Callithrix jacchus: one gene and its partners. The protein of the gene in region 5 interacts with the protein of the main gene of each other region in a pairwise test. Links are inferred from orthologs where the notes say so. Each region holds a gene or a part of one and is shown on either strand. Other genes may lie near its edges.

Region 1 (4,103 bases), about 73 Mb from region 5:
CTCCCCCAGTTCGGAGGTGCGGGCTGTTTTTCTTCCCAGGCTGGGAGGGCAGGGCTGAGCAGGGTTTAGGGAGTATTCTGTGACCCTGGCATTTCCCCCCTTTGCCCTACTTTAACCCCCGGCAGCGTCTAGGCGCTGGGAAAGCTGCTCAGGGTTAGGTGACGGAGGCTGTGAGCGGCCAGAAGAGATGGCCACAGCTTTCTAGCAAAGACAGTGGTGGTGGCGCGAGTGAGCGTGGGGAGAACCCTTAACTCTGTCGAAGTAACTGAAGCTGTAGGGGAGAATTCGTTTTATTCCTGAAACTCCTTTTACCTCTCATGGGAAACCAAATAGTATTCCACGGACACAATGATGCACTTAAAACTGCCAAACCTTAGCGGGCCGCGAGGAAGACACTTCGCCGCTTCGGGTTTTCTAAAAAAGAACGCGCAGCAAAGCGCTCAACAGCAAGTAGCCCTTTCCCCCGACTCCGGGGCCCTGCGCACTCCCCGTGCGCGCTCTCGGCACCGCACTCGGCCCGCCCCGTCCTCTGCGATTGGCTGCTCTCCGCTCCGTGACGCCCCCCGGCCCCCGCCGCGCACCCGGTTCCTCGGGAGCCACTCCTGTGCAGGAGCCGCGCACGCCCGCGGCCTGGGGTGTCGCCCCCGCGCCTTCTCTTGCTAGCCAGGAGCTCCCTGGCGCGCCTGCCGAGGTTTCGAGAATCGAAATCCGGTTATCAACAAGCCCTTCCCACTCGCGCAGCCGTGACTGATTTGCGTGCACGAGTGGACTCAGGAGTCCACGCTTGGATCGAGTTTGTCAATGGAGTAAATGGTCTCAGCTAGAAATCGACATTTAAGAGAGTTCGTGAGGAACCTCCGTGAGAAACCTCCGAATCTCAGCCGTGAAGATATAATGACGGGCAGTATCCGCGAAAATTTTAGAAAGTTTCTGCAGTTGCAGAATTTTAGTCGTGATCTGGTTTTGATGACCAATTATGACTCCTGAGGCATTTAATGTGTTTCCTCATGGGAGAAAAGATATGTGGGAGGGGGCGTACTTAAATCAAATGTATGTATAAATACACGCATAGCTATAGGCGCACACACGTATACACATACAGCCCGGGGCCTCGCACTCTCTGGAGGTCGACCCGCAACCAGGCCGGCTGGGCAAGTCCGCTGCGCGCCTGGCGGGCGGGGAGGGCGGGGGGCAGGAGGCGGTGCCCTATGCAGATGAGGAGGGTGTGGCGAGCGTGCCGCTCCGGGGCCCCGGAAGCGCAGAAAAGCCCGGTATAAAAAAAGTACTGAAGACGTTTTCCCCCGCACAACTGCTAAAGCTCCAGAGACACAATCGTGTGCGGCAGCAAGAGCCGCCACCTTCGGGACCACAGCAGCTGGGGCGGCAGCGGCGCGGGAGGGGGCGCGGGGAGGGAGTGGTGAGCGCAGGCGGCAGGGGTCTGGGAAAGACTTAAGTCGCTAGTCGCTGCCGGAGCGCAATCGCAGCTCCTGGAATTGTTTCCGCCTCGCGGTTTCTCTCTTGCTCGCTGCGCTCCTAGAAGGGGCGGCCGCCTCCAGGTGACACAGACGGGACTCTCGCTTGTGCTTTCCAGATGCATCAGAGATACTTTTGGTGCGGGGCTGCTCTGCGGGGCGCGGGGCGCGGCTGGGGATTATAAAGGCCCGGGGAGGGAGAGTCTCCCAGGAGCCCCCGGGTCAGGGAGAGATCGGTGGAGGGGGCGCTCTTTTCCTGGCGGGCCGCTGCCCTCCGCCGCGGTGTCCTTACCGCTCCTTTCCCCTTCCTTTTAGGACTGACCAGGGCCAAGTGGCGCTCGGTGGGCACTACATGGCGGAGGGCGAAGGGTACTTTGCCATGGCCGAGGACGAGCTGGCCTGCGGCCCCTACATTCCCCTAGGCGGCGACTTCGGCGGCGGCGACTTCGGCAGCGCAGAATTCGGCGGTAGTGGCTTCGGCGGCGGCAGCAGCTTCGATGAGCACTGCTTGGACTATTGCGAAAGCCCCACGGCGCACTGCAACGTCCTGAACTGGGAGCAAGTGCAGCGGCTGGACGGCATCCTGAGCGAGACCATTCCGATCCACGGGCGCGGCAACTTCCCCACGCTCGAGCTGCAGCCGAGCCTGATTGTGAAGGTGGTGCGGCGGCGTCTGGCGGAGAAGCGCATCGGCGTCCGCGACGTGCGCCTCAACGGCTCGGCCGCCAGCCACGTCCTGCACCAGGACAGCGGCCTGGGCTACAAGGACCTGGACCTCATCTTCTGCGCAGACCTGCGCGGGGAAGGGGAGTTTCAGACTGTGAAGGACGTCGTGCTGGACTGCCTGTTGGACTTCTTACCCGAAGGGGTGAACAAAGAGAAGATCACACCACTCACGCTCAAGGTAAAAACTACCCGAGATGCACTTGGGTCCTGACCCGGCTGGACCGGGTGCGACGGGGAGCGGGCAGAGGGACATCGGTTAAATGCCATGAATCTGTGGCCATCACGGGTTTGGGCGCGCGTATTTCTTTGATTTTTTTTAAATGAGTAAACTTACGTGTGTGGACGGTGTTGAGTGTTTCAGTTTACTTGATGCTTCGGCGCTACAACTCTTCTCCAACGTCCTCCTCTGCCCTACCTTTCTTCCTTTTCCTTATGTTTTAACTCTTGACTTTCCCTGTTGGGGTCTTGTCCAGAGTAGATTTTGATACTCGGCAGAATGAAATGATGTAAATAATGTTTTGAGTTATGATCCAGTCCTTGGGAAAAGAGCAGCCTGAAGCAGAAGTGAGTCAATGAGTTTTTTTTATTGTACTGGAAAAGGTGAATAGATTTCATAGCAGTACTCAGCTGACTCTGTGTTAAAGGTCTATCTTGTGGTTCTCCGTGCTGGTTCATATGTTAAGGGTATAGTGGTAGCCCCTACCCACCCTCCACTTTAGTTCAAGACGGGTTTTATATGATAAGTCAAAATTGTTTGAGGAGGCAGGCTCCCAGAACGTCGTAATTTAGTTTATATTTGATTGTAACTGCAGAGTACCCCTGGAGGAGCACACAAGATACTGATAACATTGATTGCCGCGGGCGTAGAGGGATTGGGTGGCTTGGAACAAGGGTGAGAGGCTGACTAACCTACAGCTGAATGCCTTCCTGAGTTTTGAATGTTGTTTGGATACTGTGTGAATATTGTGCCTATTAGACCATTTTCAAAAAGTAACACTTAAAAGTCAGACATGACAACAGAACCTCTTACTACTGTGCTACGTCTGCCAAAAGCCTCAAACTATTACCTCTAGTGCCTTTCCCAGACAGTAAAACTACTCGTTAAAAGTATTTTTTTTTTTTCTATTTTCAGAAGATCGTTTACGCCTGTAGATAGTGTTTGGCTGAAACTTGACAAAACAAAAGGGAAAGAGCAAAATCATTCTCAGCTGTGAGGAGGATGGATTTATTTATTTATTAATTTATTATTGTTTTCTAGGTTTGCTCATTTTGTTTTATCTTTTAAATTGTAGGAAGCTTATGTGCAGAAAATGGTTAAAGTGTGCAATGACTCTGACCGATGGAGTCTTATATCCCTGTCAAACAACAGTGGCAAAAATGTGGAACTGAAATTTGTGGATTCCCTCCGGAGGCAGTTTGAATTCAGTGTAGATTCTTTTCAAATCAAATTAGACTCTCTTCTGCTCTTTTACGAATGTTCAGAGAACCCAATGACTGAGACATTTCACCCCACAATAATCGGGGAGAGCGTCTATGGAGATTTCCAGGAAGCCTTTGATCACCTTTGTAACAAGATCATTGCCACCAGGAACCCAGAGGAAATCCGAGGGGGAGGCCTGCTTAAGTACTGCAACCTCTTGGTGAGGGGCTTTAGGCCCGCCTCTGATGAGATCAAGACCCTTCAGAGGTATATGTGTTCCAGGTTTTTCATCGACTTCTCAGACATTGGAGAGCAGCAGAGAAAACTGGAGTCCTATTTGCAGAACCACTTTGTGGGACTGGAAGACCGCAAGTATGAGTATCTCATGACTCTTCATGGAGTGGTGAATGAGAGCACAGTGTGCCTGATGGGACATGAAAGAAGACAGACTTTAAATCTTATCACCATGCTGGCTATCCGGGTAT
Region 2 (2,654 bases), on a different chromosome or scaffold from region 5:
ATACAATAATTTCTAAAAAATGGGATCTGATGGCAAATAAGTATCTTTACTTTATAGCTGGGAAATCTGAAGGGGTACCAGACCACAACTGAAGCTGGGGCAGGGCTAGAAAAGTGACTCAACTTCTTTCAATGACACTTTGTCTCCTGGTCTTCCTTCCTGTGGATCACAGTGGGCAGACTGGGCAACACATCCACTCATTTCACATAGGGTCCCCTAGCTAGACCCGCCATCTCTGCTGAAGTGAGGTCTCCTGGTGGATGAGATGCTTCCAACATGCAGCTCTTGGTGGCTCTTCCAGCAGCCCAGGCAGAGAAAAGCAGCAGCGGTATGGCCTCAACTCCAGGATCTGGTCTCCCAAGGAAGCTCGTTCTGAGTCCTTCCACGTAAAATAGACTTGGTGTCACAGGCCCAATTCTCCCACAACCTCAGTCAAAGAGTAACACCTTTGCTCCAAAATTGCATCATCATGAAAACAAAACGCTGCAGTCTACTTGAGATCATTTTTGCTCTGATTAAAATTTTTATTGAAATCTCTCAAAGGTCGTCAAGAAATAGTTTTTGCAAAAGGGGGGAAAAATAGCTAACAAACAAATTCAACATGGGAGCTCCCTCTGCTGGTCTGCAGTAGGTTGGTATGTTACAAACACATTGCCAGAGACAAATCTAATTTGCTGGAGAAGTGGACAAAAGACAGGTGTGTTGGGCTTTCCCTCAGGAGAGAAACACTAGAAGAAAAAAAAAATCCATGTCTCAAAATAGAGCATAACATTGCTAAGAAAAACAAAATTATTTAAAGACTCTCCAAAGACATTATAAGATTTCCAAAACAAAAACTGAATTATCCAATATGGGGAGATGCCCTGTAAAAGCTCCAGTCTGCTCTACCTCCAGTTAATAAAGATTCTCTTGGGCCCTTTGGGTGAAGGTTAAGTGCTGATTCCCTTGTCTTTGCCTCCAAGTCTCTTCTTACAGGCTTCGCATCTACTTAGAGAAGAAAGATCCAAGGAGTCACTGGAGTGAAGCCTTCCCAAAATTCCATTAAAGAATAAGTCTGTGGTGAGCCAGCACCTCGGAGTGGAAAGAGCCAGGCCTGGGAGTCGGGTGACCTGGGTCTAGTCATGGTAGAGCCACTTCAGATTGTGGGTAACTCCCTCCATCTTCTTAGGCCTGATTCCTCATCTGCAGAATGGGTCAGACCAGCTGATCTATAAAGCCTCTACTAGTTCATTCTGATTCTCATATTGGACAAATAAATTTAAATGACCATATTTGTTCATAGAGTCCATGACTGCCCTGGGAATGACTCCAAACAAGAAGTGGCGTTGAACACTGGTATCAGATGAGAGTCCCAACAAATCTGGGACCAGTGTGGCAGAGCTAAGTGGATTCCAGTTTGGAAAAATCTCAAGACCAAGGAAGAAGTCCCAGGGGAGGGTGCCACCATGGGCAAGGCATCCCATTAAGTCAAATGACTGAGTCCATCTAATCTCGGCACTGTCTCTCCCCATCCTTCCTCACAATTGCATATGCTTTCTAATCTCTTGAGATTCTTTAGGCCCTTCTCTTAGCATATCTTATCTCCAGAATTACTTCTGATTTTACCCATTACATGAATGAAGAATGGGTAGATGTCATGGCCAAAAGCCACCATTCCCAGTACTTTCTGGCTGTTGTCAACTCCTGATTATCCAGGGTAATGGTGAAAGGCTTTGTTGGTACCAACCAAAGCCATGGCTATTCAGAAGACTATGCAAACATGTATTGTTTCATGATATTTATTAACAGTTGCATTGATTGCCACATGATCTGTACCTAGCAGTCTAGCAAGAGGAGAGACACCGTCCAGGGCAGGGGTGGGAGGTGGCAAGCAAAAGGGGCTCTCGTTGCCCCATGTCATCCATGTATTTATCCACAGCCCGCTAACAAAGATCCCAATGACTCAGCAGAAGACCCCTACAGGTATACAAGTTATCCCCTCTCCCTATCACCTGCTAGTTATAAGGGTTCCCAAGCACTGACACGGAAAAAGGAAGAAAAAGCAGCAGGGGAAGGAGAGGCCAAAGGCACAGGTAATCCTGCTCCTTTATTTTTGGTACCATGTACTCTTACCACCACCACCTACACTTTTTTCTTCACTACTTGTACTTTCTCCCTTCTCCCGACACAAAGGGCAATCATTACTGGGGCCCAGGCGCCAAGGGCAGCCCCAGGAAGCCGGGTCATCAATGCACACCCAACACGTTGGTAACTCAGCGAAAACAATCAAAAGATGTTCAGCCAACAACAATCTTGACCCCACGGCTTTCAAGAACCCTTGCTGGGGGCTGCTTCTAGGTGGTCTTTATCAAGACAGTGAGTTCTGTACAACATAAAAGAGTTTTAAGTCAGAAGGAAGTTTTCTGGGAAGCTGTTTATTTCATCCAGCCTTGTAAACAAACACTGAGCAAAACAAACAAAAAATCCACCTGTCCAGCCTAGTCATTTTTAAAAATTTAAAATTTAAGGGCCGAATTACACATGCAGAAAAACAAATGAAACCTACATACGTACTTTCTATTTATTTGTTACTGGTCATCAATCTTTGCAGACCAAAGAACGAGTGGTTATCTCCAACGGTGAATCTTTACGCTCGTTACTACTACCTGCACTCA
Region 3 (3,500 bases), on a different chromosome or scaffold from region 5:
GCTGCGGGTGGGGACGGGGGGCGTGTAGGGGAGGCAGGGGAGTTGGATTTCTGCAGGCTGTGCCTGTGCTTGTTCTTTAAGAGCTCATAAACTCGTGTTTTTCTAGACAGGCTTCTGTTTCATGCCCTGACTCTGTCTCCCTCCCCTGGCAGCTCTCCCCATGCAGGCCCCAGCCAGTGACTCCTGGAGGAAAGCTGTCACTGCCTTCAGCAGCACTGAGCCTGGCTCTGCAGAGGTGAGTGTGGCCACTGCCCACATGTTGCTCCTGGGATGAGTATGTGCTCACCATCCACACGGCCAACTTGCTGTGGATCCCTGCATCCCAGCCCATCCAAGCCCCTGCCACAGCAGCCAAGCTGGGAATTTGATTGTTTTCATGAGCCCAAGCTCATCAGTGGTTTTCCCTCTTGACTCCTGCTGGGAGTCTGGCCTGTGCGTGGGGCCTGCATGAGTAGGAGAAAGAGAAAAGGGGTAACAAGGAAGGACCCAATGCTGGGTGGGAGGAGGGATTGAGGGCTTTCCCTGAAGTGGTGTCAGCAGTTACGTAGTCTGGTTTGGGTCATGAGTGAGATGGGTTTGGCAGCCTCTGTCTGGGGCCTGCGGAAGATCCTGTGGTCGTGCGGAAGATCCTGTGGGGTTGGTGTATTTGGCCGCATGTAAATTGTGAGGCATCCTCGGCATAGCAGGACCACACTTGGCAAGGGGCAGGCAGCTGGGGTAGATGAGTCTCAGTGCCACATTGTAGTTTTACTGTCTGGAAAATCAAGTTGGAGTTTGAGGCTCTAACCCATTTTGTGCTCTGCACAGCAGGGTTTTAAGAGCAGCCAGGGAGATAGTGGCGTTGACTTGAGCGCGGAGTCTCGGGAGTCGTCCGCGACCTCCTCGCAGCGCAGCTCCCCCTATGGGACTCTGAAGCCAGAGGAGATGAGCGGGCCTGGCCTGGCAGAACCCAAGGCTGACAGCCACAAGGAGCAGGCTCCAAAGCCATCTGAGCAGAAGGTAACCTGGGTGTTCAAGCCACAGTGGCCAGGGCCTGGGTAGAAGGGGCCACTGTCTTGTTGTCTTCCCCAGTTCTTGGGACAGTCGAAGCTGGAGAGTGTGGTCATTCCAGTCTATATTTCCACCTCTCTGCTTTTTTATCAAGGATTCAGAACAAGGCTCTGGACAGAGCAAGGAGCACAGACCAGGACCCATCGGCAACGAGCGTTCTCTGAAAAACAGAAAGGGCTCGGAGGGAGCCGAACGGCTGCAAGGGGCTGTTGTTCCGCCTGTGAATGGGGTAGAGATTCACGTGGACTCTGTGCTGCCTGTGCCACCCATAGAATTTGGAGTCAATCCAAAAGTGAGGGTTTGATTTGTTTTCTTGCTTGCTTTTTTTTACTTTTTATTTTTAGTACTTGGAGAAGTTGGGGTCTCAGACAGGATTGTCTCCTAGAAAGAATAGAAGGATGGGAGCCAAGCACTATGCAGTGACTAGGGTGTTGGCTTGGAGTCCTGCACGTGGCTGGTGCTCTGTTGAGTTGCTTTAAAGATTGCCTCACTGGGCCGGGCACAGCGGCTCACACCTGTAATCCTAGCATTTTGAGTGGGCAAGGTGGGCAGATCACCTGGTCAGGACTTTGAGACCAGCCTGACCAACATGGTAAAACTGTATCTCTACTAAAAATACAAAAATTAGCCGTGCTTGGTGGCATGCGCCTGTAATCCCAGCTACTTGGGAGGCTGAGGCAGGAGAATCGCTTGAACCTCCTACCTCAGGAGGTGGAGGTTGCAGTGAGCCTACACCATGCCACTGCACTCCAGCCTGGGCGACAGAGTGAAACTCCACCTCAAAAAAGATCGCCTCACTGACAGTGGCCAGGCTCTTGGGACAGACAGGCCAGTGATCTTCCCTGTCTCCATCAGACCACCTAAGGGACTGGGAGAGAGTGAGGCTGGCGTCCTGTCTCCTGTGCTGTGGGGAAACATCTGGCCATCTTGCTCATACGTGGCTCCAGTGAATGCTGCTCAGGGGAGGTTTTGAGTCGCAGCAACTGCATCACTTTAACATGCGGCTCTGGGGAATGTAGATTCCCACCTCAGTGGGCTATGTGGCCTTTTTTTCAGGACTCTGATTTCAGCTTGGCACCTGGTTCTGCCTCTGGTCCTGCCGGGAGTCCAGTTGTCAAACTTCAGGATGCCTTGGCCAGTAATGTAAGTTCACACTTTTACCTCTGGCTCTGCTTACCGCCTGGGGTTGGCAGGTCCTGGGTGAAGGAGACAGCGTATGTATTGGAGTCAGGCTGACCTGGGCTGGCATGTGACTCAGTCGCTAGCAGCTCCATGTCCTTAAAAGGTGCTTAAATGTTCCTGCCCGGGTTTTGCGACCTTCCAGTGGGGATTGTACAGTTCCTAAGGTCTGCTTTATTTGGCTCTCTTTGGTTCCATGTCTCCTCTGTGCCAGGTTCAAGCCCAGACTCAAGTTGCCTTTTCAGTGGCCAGGGGTAAGGGGCACAGATTGAGTAGGAGAAGCCTCCTTGGGAGGCCCCATCTCACCATCCAAGGGTCTTGGCCGCCTGTGATCTAACTGCTATAATCCAGAAAATCTCGTGGTGCCCCACCATGGGCCCAGGAACTGGCAGTGGCATCTTATCATGGCCACTGGGAGCTGCGGCATCTAGTTCACTGCTCTGTACTCACCACCTGCTGGGGTGGGTGCTAGTGCATGTGCTGAATGAATGAGTATCATTTGGGCAGCATTTCCCAGAGGATTCCAAGGAATGTGAGTGCTATACAATATTCATAGGTGTCAAATGAAAAAAAATGTCCTGGAAGTGCTAGGCTCTGCAAGGTTCTTTACTCTGAGAGTCTGCAGTCTCTGATGTGCAGATGGATGCCGGGGATCTGCAGGAGATGGTGGGGCGCTGTTGCATGTCCAGCCACTGTTACTAGGGCCCTCTTTTTCACAGTTTGCTGAGGGGCACAGCCTTCCCTGTGTGGCCCAAGACATCTCCAGGCCAGGTGGCAGGTGTCTTCTGAACCAGGTGCTTGCGTGCTAGCAGCCAGTTCGTGTCTATACTGCTGGGACATGGCTCTGCCTGTCTGAAGGGCACCATGGAGTGTGATATATGGGGGTGGCTCTCTGCAGACTTGTGTTGAGGAAACAGATGAAGGCAACCATCTCAAGATCAATCATGGTCTTGGCTGCCATCAGTTTCATTACTTAGTGGTCTTGGGTATACATGGCCAAAACTGAAGAATGCACATGGACAAATCATAGATGCTATTGGGGACTGTAGGTGGTTTTGGGCAAAGCCATGGATGCATTTGGACAAGTCATAGATGCATTTGGATGAGCCTTGGATGTGCTCAGGCTAGCCGTGGATGGGTTTGGGCAGAGCTGTCTCTGCTTCTGTTTGCGTTCCATGGTTTTCTTATCCTTCTCTCCAGGCAGGGTTAACACAGAGTATCCCTATCCTGCGGCGGGATCATCACATCCAGAGGGCCATCGGTCTCTCCCC
Region 4 (4,029 bases), on a different chromosome or scaffold from region 5:
CTACTTATATGTTGTAACCCCTTGATTAAAACCTTACAGCAAGAAGCCTTTAGGTAAGAATTTAGGCCACATTTGCTCGTCCATGGTTACCTATTCTACCGAAAGCCCTTGACATGAATAGTCAACATTAATGTATCTACTCCACTCAGCCATTCTTGAAAGGGGAACAAATCAAGGTTGCCAAAACTTTAAAAATTACTTTAATTCCAGAAGGCAAGTTCTAGGCATATGAAAAAGCTCTAAAATAATTTAAAAATACCATTTCCAGGATGCTTTAAAGATTTAAAGAACGTCCCCAGTAGACCCAATGCTAAATCTAACACCATCAACCGTAGCAGCAGCAGATATGCTACACAACACGATGTGCCAGGCATTTGTTTAAAAACGCCTTACATATATTAACATTTAATTCTCACAACCTGAGTTAGAAAGAATAAGAATAGCCATTACACATCTCTGTTGCAAGAGCCAGTTCCACTATATCAGCAAGGAGATGTCAAAATGAAATGTCAGAATCTTCATCTGTGAAATCAGAGTGCCACCCCAGACAAACATACTGTTCTCATCATACTGTAAGCTTCATAAAGCAGGGGCTACCACCTTACTTCCTCACCGCTGTACATCCAATATTGTGCACAGTGCCTGGTACAAAGAAGACATTCATGCAATATTTCCTAAAGGAAAATATAATGGGAGAGAGGGCGTTTGTTTTCAACTTAATGTTAACTCAGGTGAACTGAAGTTCACAACACAATGATTATTTTGTATTTAGGAGAGGAAATGTACTATAAATCAACTCATAATTTTAATAGAGCAAAGATTAAAATATCTTCCTGAAAGCTATTTTGCCAAGTTAATTCTCCAAAATGGTTTGATGCAAATTAATTAAAAAGATAAAACTTAAAAAGATAAAAAAAAGACTGTGGGTTTTAGTGCTAATCACCACTAAAAGTAACCCAGAAGCTGTGCTTTCACACTAAGAAGGATAATATTTGCCCTTACCGTTTGATTTTTTTAATTAAAAAAAATTTTTTTTGTAGACATGGCCTATGTTGCCCAGAATGGTCTACAACTCCTGGACTCAAGTGATCCTCCCACCTCAGCCTCCCAAGGTGCTGGGATTAGAGTCGTGAGCCGCCACTACGGCCGAGGACTTTTAAACGCACAACTATCAACTAAGTACAGTTTTTATAAACTCAGCATTTCTATTATTTAAATTTCCAAACCAGCACGTTTTGCAAAATAAAACCATGTTAACCATCTTTCCAACTTCAAATCACTTTTGGTTGGCGGGTGGGGAAAGAACGTCCACTGATTTTAACGTAAAGCAGAAAAACACCTAAAGTGTCTTACGAAAACCTCAATACCAGCAAATCCTTGCACTAGTACCCTTACTAGCATAAACTGGCCACTTTCCTCCATCAGGAAAATGGAGGCACAAATCTTCAGAAACGATTTTAAAAAAGCATTACTGGCCGGGCGCGGTGGCTCACGCCTGTCATCCCAGCACTTTGGGAGGCCGAGGCAGGTGGATCACGAGGTCAAGAGATCGAGACCATCCTGGTCAACACGGTGAAACCCCGTCTGTACTAAAAATACAAAAAATTAGCTGGGCATGGTGCCGCGTGCCTGTAATCCCAGCTACTCGGGAGGCTGAGGCAGGAGAATTGCCTGAACCCAGGAGGCGGAGGTTGCGGTGAGCCGAGATCGCGCCATTGCACTCCGGCCTGGGTAACAAGAGCGAAACTCCATCTCAAAAAAACAAAAAAAACCATTACTGACAATTTCTTGATTAAGACCTACCCCAAACGCCGATTACCTGCTACAACGAGGCTGCTTCTGAGGGTGACCTTGAAATGCAACGGTTTGAAGTGTTGAAACACAAAGGTATTGAAAATAAAATGCAGCCCACAATGGGATTTTCTGGTACAAATATTCTGGTTCCCCCCGGTCTGAAAGCCTTACTCCCAAAGTGGAGCCTGCTGGGGTGCCTGGGAAATCGGCGCTGAGACAGGAAGGCGTAAGGGCAGGGCAGGGAGCCCCGGGCACATGAAAAAAATGTGGTGTATTCATAAACTGAAATATTGGGTAGCGCTTGAAAGGAAAAACACTAGACTTAGGCATTCCAGCTGGATCTCAAAGCTTAGTGTCGGAGTGAAAACTGCAAAAACGATACTTAGTTATACCACTCGTATCACATCGACGCTCACAAAGCAACAGCATATACGTGATGCGAGGGCATAAACCTTTCACTGGAAGGATTAAAAAAACGCAAACATTTTGAAATTGGTTACCTCAGGAGAGGTGGGGAAAGGATGAGTTCAAAGCAAACTCCGTTCTTCCCCATTATGACTGAATACAGAGGATGGGAACAAGCCTTCCTTTCAGAAAAGGACTCAGGGTGGAGGATGAGAAAGGGGCCTGAGGGAACGAGGATGCCGCACATCCGCCAGCGGGAGTTGGAGGCGGGAGATGCGGAGGCGTGAAGCGCGCCGAAGAGTCTCTGGGAGCGCTCAGGAGAGGAATGCCCGCCAAGGCCGCGCCGCACTTACAGGTTGATGGTGCGCTCCAGGGTGAGGGGCTTGGTCTGCTGGATGTACTTGTTGCCGAACTGAGTGACCCCCCGGGGCCAGCCGGTCTGCGAACGATTAGGTGGTACCACAGACATGCTGGAGAGTTCCGGCGCTAACGGCGAGCAGAAAGTGGGAGGCAGGGAAGAGTTTCCCCGAGCGCAAAGCGGTTATCTCCGATCCCCTCAGAGGCCACCGCCCGCCATTAACAGGAGCGCGCAATGGGAGGTGTAGGCACGCCGGAAGTGAACCCGGAGCCTCTGGCGGCAGGAAGTAGAAAGGTGATGGCCTGCCAGACAGAGCGCCATTGGGCCAATCGCTAGTGGGATGGCTGCAATAGCTGGAGCTCCCATTGGCAAACCGGTATAGGTTCCGCCTTCTCTTACTTTGGTGCTTCCAATTGGATAGCGCAGGGGAACCCGGTAATTGGGGCATGCCGGGAATTGTAGTCCCTTTAGGAAAGTAGCGTCTTGTACAGGCTTGGCTCTGTACCTTGGGAGGAGATGAATGGGAAGCGGCCAGCGGAGCCCGGCCCAGCCCGGGTGGGAAAAAAGGGAAAGAAGGAGGTGATGGCGGAGTTTTCGGACGCTGTCACGGAGGAAACCTTGAAAAAGCAGGTGGCTGAGGCCTGGAGCCACAGGACGCCTTTCAGTCACGGTAACCGGGTGCTCTCAGGGAGGGGCCGCCACTCAGGGGTCTGGGGATCTCTGAAAAAGCCCTGGAACTCGAACCCTGGCAGTGGGGCAGCAAGGGAAGAGGCTCTTGGAGGACTTTTGGCCACCTCCGACCCTCCTGCCTCGGCTGCTGCTCTCTTTCAGTCCAAATTCGGTTTGAATTTAGAAACCTGAGAAGAGGGAGAAATGGAGGCCGGAGAGTTTCGGGAAGCAGAGGGTATGCAAGTGATAGTTGCATTCTGGATTCTCAGATTACCGAGCTAGAATCCTCTCCCCTGATTGGGCGTCGCCGGGCAATGGAGTTAACTTTATTAAACTTCAGCTGCTTCCTAAGTAAAATGGGATAGTTAATAGTCTGTACCTCAGAAAGACGGTGAATGGAAGTAATAAGCTAATGCTTGCAGGCTTCAGTAAATGTTTCCCTGAGTAAGGCCCAATACACGTCTGGACAAATACGGGAGTGGTTGATGTCGTTTGTCGTGCAAGAGCATTGCTCGGCTGTCCCAGGAGAGTCTGCCAGACCATTTGCCATGAGCTGCCAGCTCGGCTCCCGAGTTTTCTCGTCTTTTCGCGCCTATAGTTTGACTGTATGATGTATGAAAGTAAACACGTGTTGACTAAGGAAAGGAGGCTGCGTTGAACGATTCCAGCCTCAGCTTCAAACATCACCTTATGTGATAGGAGCTCTGCTTTGTGTGCCAGGCATCCCCTTCTAGAGTTCCCTGTGATTTTTCTTTCTGTTGTCAAGTGCTTTGAAGAGGAGGGTCCAGGGTGGTCTGGATGCC
Region 5 (3,967 bases):
CTGATCTAATTACATGAGTGATCAGGGCTGGAGTAAGTGCACTGAAAACCTACACCACTGACAGCCAGCCAGGAGGTTCAAGGGAGCCCTTCAACCTCTGCTTTATGTAGAAGATGGCATTCAAGTCCATTTATTTGCAGAGCTGCTAAAATATTGACTGATGCATGCACAGCGAGAGGGCAATCAGAGGAGATTAAGTGCCACAGCATTAGCCGTTATGGTGCAATCCCTTTCCAAGAGTTCCTGTGCAGGATTTTCTCTTCTCTCTGGTGGTTTCCTCAGGCATAAGCTTCATTCCAAAAAAAAAAAAAAAGCCTAAGTATCAAACTACCTTTACCCACCAAATAAACCGAAGGGTGGGCTTAACGGGGGCTTCTAGGAACTGCAGCCTCCTAAAAAACCCAAACGGAAATGTCTTAGCTAACACTGTTGAAAAAGTAGCTATGCCTAAAAATAACCACCAAGTAACTACCCACTGCTGTGTGCAATATATAACGACAATGTTTAAATATTAAAAACAGCCTGCATTATAAAACGCAAATGTCATTGAGATGTGCACTACTAGATTGCCAAAGGAGAACTTATTTGCATACACACATTCCTGTGCATGCACGAATGTGCAGGCAGAAAGCCACTGTAAGGCACCAGTTTTTATTCTGTGGGTGTAATAGGGTCTTCTAATTTTGCTAATTGTATCCTGTGGATCTCACAGGGAAGCTCAGAATCTCTTCGGGGACAGAACCAGTTTGGAGGAGTCCCTACTGCACAGCATACGGTAAACAAAATAAAAATAGCTTGCCTTTCTTGTTAGCCACATCGCGCATTATATAACCAGCTTCTTCCGACTGGCTTTTTTTTTTTTTTTTTTTTTTTTTTTTTTTTGCCCTTACTACTCTTCAGCAATTTCCCAATCTTCTCAAGTATTTACATTACCTTTTTATCTGTAGGATAATACCAAGAAAGCAAAACAAAACAGACCAGCCACCGGCTCGAACCGAACCCCTGCCGTCCTTAGAAACTGATCTTTTTGTTTTGTTTTGTTTTCTGGCAGAGTCTGGATCACCACCCTACTTCCACCCCCCGCTAAGGTTCTTGCTCAATCTCCCTAGAAAACCTGAATTGTTTCACCGCTTCCAGTCAGCCCCCTACGTGGTTTGAAATAAAATGAAAGCACAGCCTCGGAGTTCAAGAAGGCAGCCTGAAGGCGGGGGGCTGAGAAGGGGTCGGGCGATGCAGAGTCAGCCAAGTGGCCGAGGAGGGGCCCCCTCCGCATCACGACAGCCCTCGCCCCCCGCCCGGCGCGCACGCACACACACATATACACATTCACACTCACTCACACACTCACTCACACGCCGCGCTCCGACACCGCCTCACCTCTCGCTCCGCCCGTCCGGCCCCCTTCCCTGCCCCCTGCGGGACCGGCCTGAGCGCAGCGCTGGAACCACGTAGGAGGCGGCGGCGGCGGCGGCCCCGGCCCCGGGAGTGGCAGAGTCTTCGGCCCGGCCCAGAGTGAACGAGCAGCGGGGCTCCAGGGCGCATCCCAATCCCCGCAGCGCCTCCTCCTCCTCCTCCGCCGCCGCCTCCTCCTCCTTCCCCTCCTCCTGGCTTCATTCACCCTCCCAGCAGCCGCGCAGCCGTTCACTCCCGGCTCCGGGCAGCGCCTGCCGCGGCTCCTCGGTTCCTGCCGCGGGCGCTGGCAGGGGCGCCGGCCCGGACTGGGGCGCTCGCGGGCTCGCGGCTCCGGGCGGCGGCGGCCGCTGCACAGGATCAGGAAGCGGCCGCACCAACAGGGCGGCGGTGGCGGCGGCAGCCAGGGCCGCCACCGCCACTCCAGCCGCGCTCCAGGCACCCGCACACCCGCTACCCCCGCGGGGTCCCCGAGGCCACCCCTCCGCGCCCCCCGCCTGGCACCCGGCCGAGCGCAAAGTCCCGGCCCCTTGGCTGGAGCAGTCCCTTCCCAGCCCACAGCCGTACAGCCGGCGAGGCCGGCCACGGAGGGAAGACCCTCGCCCAGGGGCGCCGAGGCCGGGCGTCCACCCGCGGGGAAGTGCAGCCCTCCCCGAGACCCCCCCTCTCTCACCGCCCTCTCCGGAGAGGAGGAATGGGAAGAGGGCGGCCGGGAAAGGGACCAGCCCCCCACCCCGGCCGCCGCCGCCTCCCCCTGCGCCACCCGGAGGGAGGAGGACATGGCTCTCGGCACTCGCGACCGGACCAGCAGTCTCCAGAGCGGGGCGCCGCCGCCGCTCTCCCTGCCCGCGCCCCCCGCCCGGGCGCGCCCCCTAGCCCGGCGGGCGCCCACCCGGCCCCTGACAGCCCCCCCGAACGGCCGCCCCTGCGCCCAGAGTGGGGGTGTCGGCCTGGGAGCCTGGAACCGGGGACGGTTGTATGTACACACACACGCACGCACACACACACACAACACGACGCGTCGATTCCCTTCGCTCCTCTTCCAGCTGTTTTCCGTGCAGCCGATTGGGGTTTTAGGGTTTGTTTGCTGGTTGTTGCTTTTGCCCCTCTCGGGAGATAGGGAGAGGAGGGATTTTAATCTAAATAAGGGGAGAAGGGGATGGGGGAGGGGGGAAAAGAATCAGAGGAGGAAAAAAAATAGCCACTTACTGTAAAGTGTAAATGGATCTGGGGTTGCGTGGGGAAGGGGGGCAGAGGGAGAGAAACAATGTCTGGCGGCTGCTCTTGCTCTGGCTGCTGCTCCCCGGGGCTTGTTTTGGATCCCCCTGCAGTGAAACAGGTCCTGTACGGCTCCGCCACTGTAGTAGAAATGATGTCTGCGGTATACTCTGCTCTCTCCTCCTCCTCCTCCTCCTCCTCCTCCTCCTCCCCCTCCTCCCGCTTCCCTCCCCTCCCTCCTCCCTCCGCCCTCCCTCCCTCGCGCTCTCTCGCGCTCGCTCGCTCGCTCGCTCGCTCCAGTATGTAAATGTGTAATAGAAGCCAAATATGGAGCAGTTGGCTGCCGCCGCCGCAGCTCAAGGATCCGACTTCATGGGGGTGGGGGGCACCCTCTGGCGGGCGGCCCGGCGAGCAGCACCGAGCCCTGAGCGCACCGCGCGGCGGCTGGCCCGCGCCCTTAACCCTTCGCGGCGCGCGGCCCGGGGAGGCGGGCACCTTTCCCCAAGAGTGGCTCGGGACGGGCCGCGGGGGAGGGGAGGAGCGGGGTGGAGGGCAAGGTTCCTTCCAGGTTTGGGAAGGGGGCGGGGAGCTGCGCGATGAGGTAATTGGAGCGGTGACCGGTCGGTCCTCGAGCGCCTCCCTGGGTCCCTGCACCTAGTTGGAGGGGACCGAGCGACCGCGGGGCGCTGCTCAGGCAACCTGGGGGACTCCCCCAAGGGGTGTCAGGCTTCAGCTGGCAGCCAATGAAACACCCCAGGGGGGAGGGGAGGTCGGCGGGTTCTAATCCCAACGTGCCCTGGGTCCCCGGCGCCCCGAGCCGCGTCTAAAAGGGCTCCCTCCGATCATCAGCTGCACGTTATTTAACCCGCAAACCGGCGTCGCTGCGGCGTTCGGGAACCCAGGCCCGGGGGCCTCGGGGATTGCCTCTGCGTGCAACTCCGCAAAGTTTCCCGGGCCCCCCGACTGCACAGGCGCCCTCACCTTCGCTGCCTGAGAACGCCCGGCCGTGCCCTCGCTCTCTCCGCAGGTCCGGAAATCGGCTTCGATCTGGAGCTACTTACTCCGCTCTAGCCTGGAAAGGAGACCCGCGCACTCCTCTCGCAGCTAATTTGGGATCATTAATTTAATCGGAAATGAGGTAACCAGTGTAAGAGACAGAGAAAGCCACCGGAGCATCAAATGGCAGCTCTCGGGAATCGATGAAGAACTTGAGTCTGGACTCTGTGTTTTAGTGCGGTCCGCGACTCCCACCACCCCGCCCGCCCCTCCGCCTGTCCCGCCGCCAGGTGTGACCTCCACGCGAAGGAATCTTCGTCGGCTGGGCTAACATTGCCAACAG
Region 6 (3,500 bases), on a different chromosome or scaffold from region 5:
TTTGTTGTCCAGCCTGGAGTGCAATGGCGTGATCTTGGCTCACTGCAACCTCCGCCCCCTGGGTTCAGGCAATTCTCCTCCCTCAGCCTCCCGAGTAGACAGGATCACAGGCATGCAATACCATGCCCAGCTAATTTTTGCATTTTTTTTAGTAGAGACAGGATTTCACCATGTTGGTCAGGCTGGTCTTGAACTCCTGACCTCAGGTGATTCACCCACCCTGGCCTCCCAAAGTACTGGGATTATAGGCTTGAGCCACCGCACCTGGCCCCTGTATAGGTTTAGAAGAGAAAGACCAGCTTCTTCTGGAGTCCTGAACAAGCCAAGTGGTGCCTGTGCCCATCAGAGAAAGCTGTCTATTCCTCACAGTGCCCTGCTGCCATCTCCTATGCATCAGGTTACTGGGCAGATGGTGCCCTGGTGCTGTGCTGTGGCAACCAGGTGCTGTGGCTGGTGCTCCTGCCCTCGTAGGCCTTGGGGGTCACCACCAAGGGAGGAAGCACCACCCCAGCAAGACACAGCCAGTCCGCTCCTGGGTGCCAGAAGAGAGGGCCTGCAGCCCGGGAGGGCCAGCGATAGAACTGAGCAGTGGGTGTGGCCAAGGCCACAGCGGGGAGCCCCCAAAGGGCAGTCAGGCCCAGCAGGGATGGGGAAACGCCTCCCCATGTCATGCCAGCCCTCACTGCTGTTCTAAGCAACTTTGTTCTAAGCAAGACAAGCCTGGGGCCTGATTCCTGGCCCCACCCTAGGCAGGGTACTCATTACCCCGAATCTCAGTTCCCTCACCTGGGAGGTGGAATCAACTTCACGGAGTTGTGAGAATGAATGAGTGGCATCTGTAGGTGCACAGCGTGGCCTGGTGCTGTGAGCAGGTCAGCTGTGCCTGTTGTCACCATGGTCGTTATCAGCATCATTTGCTCACTGCTTTATTCCCAGCACCTAGAACAATACTCAATGAAGAGTTACTGATTGGTAGAATAAGAGAATCATGTTCAGTAGCACACTGACCATTCTTCAGCTCTGTCAGACAGTGAAGCCCAGTCTAGAAGCGAAGGACACCGTCAGCTTCTAGACTGGGCTTCACTGTCTGACAGTGCCCCCTGCCTGGTACCCAGGAGGCAACCTGGGCTGCATAATGCTTGCTGTCCCACAAGCAGACAGAGGGTGTCCCTCCCAGAGAGTGGTGGAGTATGGTGCCAGGTGGCAGAAGCTTAGGTTCAGGTGCTCCTCCTGACCAGGTGTACAGCGTCGAGCCGGTCAGAGAGTGATGCTTCCTGCCTTTCTCATTTCTATAGTTTAAACGGTGGGACAGTAAGTGGGTGGGAAAGTTCTCTGTAAAATACTAAGTGCCAGCTGGTCACAGTAGCTCATGCCTATAATCCCAGCACTTCGCGAGGCTGAGGTGTGTGGATCACTTGAGGTCAGGAGTTTGAGACCAGCCTGGTCAACATAGTGAAACCCTGTCTCTACTAAAAATACAAAAATGAGCTGGGCGCGGTGGCAGGCACTTGTAATCCCAGCTACTTGGGCACTCCAGCCTGGGCGACAGAGCAAGACTGCATATCAAAAATAAAATGCCAAGTGCATCCACCTGCTCAGAGGAGCATAGTTCATAACCATCATTGTTAGCACAGGTTTTATTACCATTTTGTAACTAACATTGCCTGCTTCATTCCTGGCAGACGGAGTTAGAAGCCAAAAGTGAAACCAGGCAGGAAAATTACTGGCTGATTCAGTACCAACGGCTTTTGAACCAGAAGCCCTTGTCCTTGAAGCTGCAAGTAAGGACTGCTGCTGCCTGCCCTGGCCAGGGAGCCCGGGGTCTCCTCCCAGAGCACCTCTGGCTTCCACTATGCTCTGCCTCTTGTTACCTTTCTGGTGACTCTGGCATGCCAGATCCTGTGCCAAGCACAGGTGGCAACAGAAGTGAGAACGAGGGAGTATTCATTCTGGCGAGGGGGACAACAAGGCGCTGGTCACTGCTGTGTGGGGCAGAGACCACTGAGCCCACAGTAGAGTGAAGCCTGTGCCCGGGGGCCACTGTCTGCCCAGCACGTGCAGGGACAGGGTGGTGAATGAAACAGCCTTCTCTTAGTGGATGTTCAAGTCGCTTACTATTTCGGGGTTTGCAGACAGAGTGGCGGTGAACCCCGGGCCCGTCTATCTCTGTGCCTGCACTTGTGTTTTTGTAGGACTAATCCTGAGTATGTTCTAGGTATTGTGTTGTGTATATTCAAACCCTTCATTTCCTGTTGTAAGCAATGGGTTCTTTTCTTCCTTCCCACTCATGGTACACTTTTCCCTGGTCTGTCTTGCAGGAAGAGGGCATGGAGAGCCAGCTGGTGGCCCTCCTGGAGGAGCTGTCGGCTGAGCACTACCTGCCCATCTTTGCCCACCACCGCCTCTCGCTGGCCCTGCTGAGCCAGATGAACCCCGGGGACCTGGCCAAGGTGGGCAGCAGCTGTCCATGCAGAGGGTGGGGAGGCTGGGGAGGTGTGCGCAAGGCCACTGGCCTGACCAGTGGGGGTTGACCTGCTCCCCGTGGAATTCTCAGTGAGGTCTGTCCTTACCTAATGGCCTAGGCCCACCTTGTTTCCAGATGGTCAGAATGCCTGCCCATCTGCCCCAGCCGCCTGTGTCTGCCCTGGACACCATCTCACTGGGAAATCCTGGGGAGGTGGGTCCTGCCGAGCTGCTCAGACTGGATCCACAAGACAGGCCCCTGGGGATTGTCCGATCCAGCCTCCGCCCTGTCCCTTGGTGTGACAGACTGTTGTGACCGCAGCACTGCCTGAGCCCATATTCTGGGCACAAGCTGGGCTCTCTACAGCACATGAATCCACTTACTCTCCAAAACGGAATAATCATTGCTGTGCCAGCTAATACCTTCTTACCACCTGCACGTGCTGGGCACCATTTTAAGCACTTTTCGTATTTGAACTCACTGAATCCTCTCGATGGCCCAGGGAGGTACAGAGACTTATGATCTATCGTTCAGATGAGACCCAGTAAGGCAATAACTTGGCCTAAGGTCACGAAGCAGAGTGAGGCCTCTACCCCTAGCAGTCCAGCCCCAGAGTTCCTGTTCTTTGCCATGAGACTGTCCTGCCCCTCCCTGGACAGATGCAGACACTGAGGTCCAAAAGGACTGGATAGCACTGAGGGTCACAGGCCATGCTGCTTAAGCTCTGAAGGCTGAGGGGCTGTGGGCTCAGGTGCTGCTGCTTAGCGGCTTGGCCTCAAAGGCTTCTCTCTTGCTCCACCTGGTGGGGAGGTGGCGTGAGATGTGCAGGTGAAACCCGGTACTGGGAAGCAGTCGCTAAACCATGGCCGTTGCTAGTGCTGGCTTCCCTCTGGGCCTCGGTTTTCTTCCCACCCCCACCACACTGATTGTGGGGCTGAGGCCTGAGGAGGTTGCCCCCACAGTGATGGTGCCGCACTGCCCCATCCTGACCCTGGGCCCCGCCAGGCCCTGGACGGCTCCCACATTTCCAGCGAAG
Region 7 (4,029 bases), on a different chromosome or scaffold from region 5:
ATAAGAAATTAGCAACAGAGTAAGGAGTTTAGACAGGGCTGACTGAATTCCCATGACATATTTTCTTTTAGGGATGTGCGCGGATGTTCCAGCTAAACCTTAGCAGTCAGATGCAGTCTAGCTTTGTTTCTGAACTGGCTTCAGCAACGCTGTAGCTAGTCCTGGAGATGATAGAGCCAATGCTATTATTTTGTTCCAGGGAAAAGCAGCCCAAAAGAGATCACACAGAACAGTGATTACTCTCCTTCAGAATATGAATGCCTTAAGCCTCAGTCCCTGCTATGAGGTGTTTTCTCAAGCCAACGGCCTCCATACCTCACCCCATAGTCTGTTGCACCTCATTCTGCCTGGTAACCTCAAACTCGTCTCCTTATCTAGCCCCTGGTCTTGGTCTAAGAGCAAACCAAGAACAAAGTCCAGGGCTCCTCCCTACCTAATCAGAGAGATTTACCTTCTCCGCCCCCCCACCCCCCCACCCCGCCACCCCGTCTTTGATAGTCACTGGGCAATCCTCTTTTTCATTAGAGGGGAATGGGCTGAGAAAATAAGACTAAGCAGGCCTTAGAAAGGAAGTAGCAAGGAAAAAGGGAATATACAGAGCTACAGAGATTTGGGTATGAGCTTATGTGTCATTCCTAGCTATGGAAACTTAGGCAAGTCACTTCCTAAGCCTTAGTTCCCTCGTGTAAAACTGAAAACAGCAGAGCCTACTTAGAAAGATACGAAAACTGAATAAAGAAGTAGATATAAGACTAAAAGTTACTAGATTTTGAGAACATACTATGTGCCAGATCCTAGGCATGCTAATTTATTTCACTAAATCCTCACAATTCTGTGACATAGGTCGTTATCATAACCCCATTTTACAGGTGAAGAGTCAAGGCACTGGGTGGTTAAGTAACTCATTCAAGGCCACAAAGTCAGGAAGAGACAGAGCTAGGGCTTGAACCCAGGATATCTGACTCTAGGGCAGAGTGCCTCAACTTTGGCAGTACTGACATTTTAGGCAGGATAATTCCTTACTGGGGAGCAGGGGCTTATCCCATGCATTATCAAATGTTTAACATTAACATAAAACATTAACATGTTTCATCTACCCACTTGAAGCCAGTAGTATTCCCCACCCTAACTGTGACAACCAAAAAACATCTCCAGACATTGCCTAATGTCTCCAAGGTGACAAAACCACCCCTGGTTAAGAACCACTTCTTTATAGTCTGGCACAGGACTAAATGCTCAATACATAAGGGTTCCCTTTTATTTTTGTCTCTCTCAGAGCCCAAACACCTCATTCACAGAGGCACCGCCCCTTCAAGCTGTAATGGATCTTAGATAGGATTAATTATTCCACTTATTCCCCTGGAGGTCTCACATTCTATCTGCTATCGCAGCTTGTGGGTACAAGGAAAAGGGGCTTAGGTAGATGACCTTGAATAGTTCCATTTCTTCTTCCCCAAAGCCCACCATTTTCAGTGGCCTGGGGGTGTCAGAGGGGAGTTAGTGGCAATACCATACCTGCCTCATGATAATGGATATTTGTTTAATAAATGAAGAAGATTCTGCCCTTCACAAGGATCACCACACTCCTTCAGGATCTCTGAACTGAAGATGTATCACTTCGTTCCTCAACACCTGAACTCTGCTCATCTTCATATACTCATCTATATCATACATTACTTTTAGGTCCTTGGGTCCCCTGAACTCCATCTGTCTCCCATGCAGCGATTTAAGGAAAATCTCTTCAGCAGTCCAAGACACCAGTCCACAAACCGACTCAGGGTTTTTTGATTCTATAGCCCAGTTAGGACATCTCTACCCTATGATTCAATCCTCTCCAAACCCTGTCCCCAACCCTCTTACAATACCAAATTCCAATCTCTGGCGCTGTATACTGCAACCCTCATCAATTCCTCACTCCTATGCCCCAAATCCCTCGGACATAGATCCTTTAATCCCTGTTTCCAAATCTCTGCTGCACTCAGCCCTGCACCTCAGTTCAACGGCCCAATTCCACACTTGATTTCTGCTCTCCCTCATTCTGAGCCCCCCATCTCCTGCATTCCATCAGGCACTGTGCCGCTCTCAAACCCTGTTCCTTCCTCTTACGCACTGAATGTCACATGCTGGCTTCACAGTTCAGCCAGGTCCCTTCTTTCTGCTAACAAGACAGAGTCCCTCAAGAACTCATCCCCATCCCCTCAATCTCACGCTCATCCCACTCCGAAAACCCTCTCTCACTAGCACTGAGGATCGACCTAGACCTTGCTCCTATCATCTCAGACCCTGTCCTTGCCAGATGCCTAGCGCCCCCAGATTCCCTTAAATCTCATCGGGGGTCCCCAGTTCCTTCATATTTCTGAAATTCTGCACCCAGGTCCCTCCAGGGCCCTGATTCCCTCCCATCTCCCACATGCTGCACCCCATTTCTCCTCTCGGCCCCCACATTACCTCATACCTCCCGAAATGCTTCAAACGCAAATCTCTTCAGAGCACCTCGCTCCCCTCCCCCAGCTGCATCTCCTCGGATCTCCTCAGCCCCATGAATCTCTCCCGAGCCTGCCCCTAGCAGCCCCACCCCCACCCCAGTCCTGCCCCTCAGATCCGGTCCACAGACTCTGCCATTCGGGCGCGGCCGCTGCTCGCCGGCACGGCCCTCCGCCCCGCTACTGTGCCACCGCCCACGACTCCGGCCGCGGTCCCTGGTCCCCAACCCTCCTTCCCGCCCCCTACCTGACCGCCCGCGGCTCCAACGAGTCCACCGCCGCCAGCCCACCCGCCTGCCGCCTTCTGCGCACGCGCCGCTGAGCGCCCCTTGCCGGGCGGCAACTCGCAGAGCTCCCTGTCAGTCATTGAGCCCCGCCCCCCGAGGCAAGCTGGGTCTTGTAGTGCCGCGGGGCCGGTCGGCCCTGCAGGGGTGAGCATTCCTCTGAGAACCCGGGGGCCTTAGCTACACGTAATCCAGTTTTCCGTCTCGTTGTGCAGATGAAGAAACCGAGGCCCACGGGCGAAAGGGACCTGCTCAAGTTCATTCAGTAAGTCAGGAGATAAGCCAGAACGCGTTTCTGACTCCAGTCCCAATGTCTACCCCTTACAAAGCCGTGGCTTCCAGGGTAGTCCTAATCAAAGCCTTGGCACCTCGCTGAGTCTCAGTTTTTCTATCAAAGAAATGGGCCAACGGTAGAATCAAACTTCCATCCTGGGGAAGTCGAGAACCGGGACTCCCTGGGAAGGGCAGTGCTTGGGCTCCATGTTCTGTGCTCTGACACAGAGCTGCGCTAGAGACAAGTTTATCCATGAACACATTGCTCTGTAAAGGAATGAATGTTTTGCCTACTCAGCTGGGAAGTCGACAGCAGACGCAGACGTGGGGAATACTGTCCCTGCAGACAGAGCTTCCCGGGAACCCACACCAAGTCTAGTTTTGGAGAGTCAGGGGTGAAGGTGGGGGAGTCTTACCGGGTGGGAAGTTGTCTGGCCTGAGATTTGAGGGAATCTGGGGCACTAGGCATCTGGCAAGGACGAGGTCTGATAGAGGACTGGCTGGCCATAACCTGCAGTCCCTGAGGTAGTTTGGGGACAATCGCATGCTCTCCAAGGTGACTATACTGCATAGCTTAGGAGCACAAAGGAGTTTGAAGTAGGATGGCCTTGGATTTGAAATTCCACTTAGCTATGCGACCCTTGCACAATGATAAAACCATGAACAAAAACAATAACTAACACCTTTGGATACTTGCTGTCTGGCTATAGCTAAGGACTTCAGGTGCGTGGCTCACTAAATCCTCCTAAGGACTTCATAAGATAAGGCAGCTGGTGGTTAACCTACACCTGTTGTGTAACCTAGGCGGTTACACAGCAAACCTGTGCCTGTTGGAGCCCTGATTTGTACCCGATTCTATCTGGGAACCCACTCTCTTAACCTTGTTTACTCTCTCTCCCCATTTTCTAAATTTCTAAATGAAGTTTGCTATGAAGATAAACCAAGATTATGGTAGTTTGCAGTTGGTAACTGTATTTGAAAAATTGTAA

What was found.
Region 1: the proteins of ATXN1 (region 5) and TENT5A interact in binary tests that used the Homo sapiens proteins (3 or more experiments, as listed by UniProt). The link is inferred for Callithrix jacchus from reciprocal best matches to the Homo sapiens genes ATXN1 and TENT5A.
Region 2: the proteins of ATXN1 (region 5) and RBPMS interact in binary tests that used the Homo sapiens proteins (3 or more experiments, as listed by UniProt). The link is inferred for Callithrix jacchus from reciprocal best matches to the Homo sapiens genes ATXN1 and RBPMS.
Region 3: the proteins of ATXN1 (region 5) and PRRC2B interact in binary tests that used the Homo sapiens proteins (3 or more experiments, as listed by UniProt). The link is inferred for Callithrix jacchus from reciprocal best matches to the Homo sapiens genes ATXN1 and PRRC2B.
Region 4: the proteins of ATXN1 (region 5) and NUDT21 interact in binary tests that used the Homo sapiens proteins (3 or more experiments, as listed by UniProt). The link is inferred for Callithrix jacchus from reciprocal best matches to the Homo sapiens genes ATXN1 and NUDT21.
Region 6: the proteins of ATXN1 (region 5) and LRSAM1 interact in binary tests that used the Homo sapiens proteins (3 or more experiments, as listed by UniProt). The link is inferred for Callithrix jacchus from reciprocal best matches to the Homo sapiens genes ATXN1 and LRSAM1.
Region 7: the proteins of ATXN1 (region 5) and TRIM32 interact in binary tests that used the Homo sapiens proteins (3 or more experiments, as listed by UniProt). The link is inferred for Callithrix jacchus from reciprocal best matches to the Homo sapiens genes ATXN1 and TRIM32.

Annotation. Positions count from the first base shown.
Region 1 is NC_133505.1:87,246,672-87,250,774, reverse strand, and holds the start of TENT5A (terminal nucleotidyltransferase 5A), read left to right. Parts: upstream 1-1,303; 5' UTR 1,304-1,591; coding exon 1,592-1,611; intron 1,612-1,787; coding exon 1,788-2,376; intron 2,377-3,490; coding exon 3,491-4,103.
Region 2 is NC_133514.1:31,699,394-31,702,047, reverse strand, and holds the end of RBPMS (RNA-binding protein with multiple splicing), read right to left. Parts: intron 729-2,654; coding exon 597-728; 3' UTR 501-596; downstream 1-500.
Region 3 is NC_133502.1:180,091,545-180,095,044, forward strand, and holds part of PRRC2B (protein PRRC2B), read left to right. Parts: intron 1-152; coding exon 153-235; intron 236-807; coding exon 808-999; intron 1,000-1,144; coding exon 1,145-1,342; intron 1,343-2,106; coding exon 2,107-2,193; intron 2,194-3,429; coding exon 3,430-3,500.
Region 4 is NC_133521.1:14,315,321-14,319,349, forward strand, and holds the start of NUDT21 (cleavage and polyadenylation specificity factor subunit 5), read right to left. Parts: upstream 2,801-4,029; 5' UTR 2,669-2,800; coding exon 2,553-2,668; exon of another isoform or gene 2,519-2,552; intron 675-2,518; coding exon 606-674; intron 1-605. Other genes in the region: prolyl 3-hydroxylase OGFOD1, read left to right, coding at 3,074-3,227. UniProt on the Homo sapiens protein: Component of the cleavage factor Im (CFIm) complex that functions as an activator of the pre-mRNA 3'-end cleavage and polyadenylation processing required for the maturation of pre-mRNA into functional mRNAs.
Region 5 is NC_133505.1:13,913,871-13,917,837, reverse strand, and holds the start of ATXN1 (ataxin-1), read right to left. Parts: upstream 2,801-3,967; 5' UTR 2,620-2,800; intron 2,192-2,619; coding exon of another isoform or gene 1,378-2,191; intron 1-1,377. Other genes in the region: uncharacterized protein LOC128931873, read right to left, coding at 1,378-2,191. UniProt on the Homo sapiens protein: Chromatin-binding factor that repress Notch signaling in the absence of Notch intracellular domain by acting as a CBF1 corepressor. Binds to the HEY promoter and might assist, along with NCOR2, RBPJ-mediated repression. Binds RNA in vitro.
Region 6 is NC_133502.1:176,115,759-176,119,258, forward strand, and holds part of LRSAM1 (E3 ubiquitin-protein ligase LRSAM1), read left to right. Parts: intron 1-1,682; coding exon 1,683-1,781; intron 1,782-2,318; coding exon 2,319-2,450; intron 2,451-3,500.
Region 7 is NC_133502.1:165,023,450-165,027,478, reverse strand, and holds the start of TRIM32 (E3 ubiquitin-protein ligase TRIM32), read right to left. Parts: upstream 2,801-4,029; 5' UTR 2,449-2,800; intron 1-2,448. UniProt on the Homo sapiens protein: E3 ubiquitin ligase that plays a role in various biological processes including neural stem cell differentiation, innate immunity, inflammatory resonse and autophagy.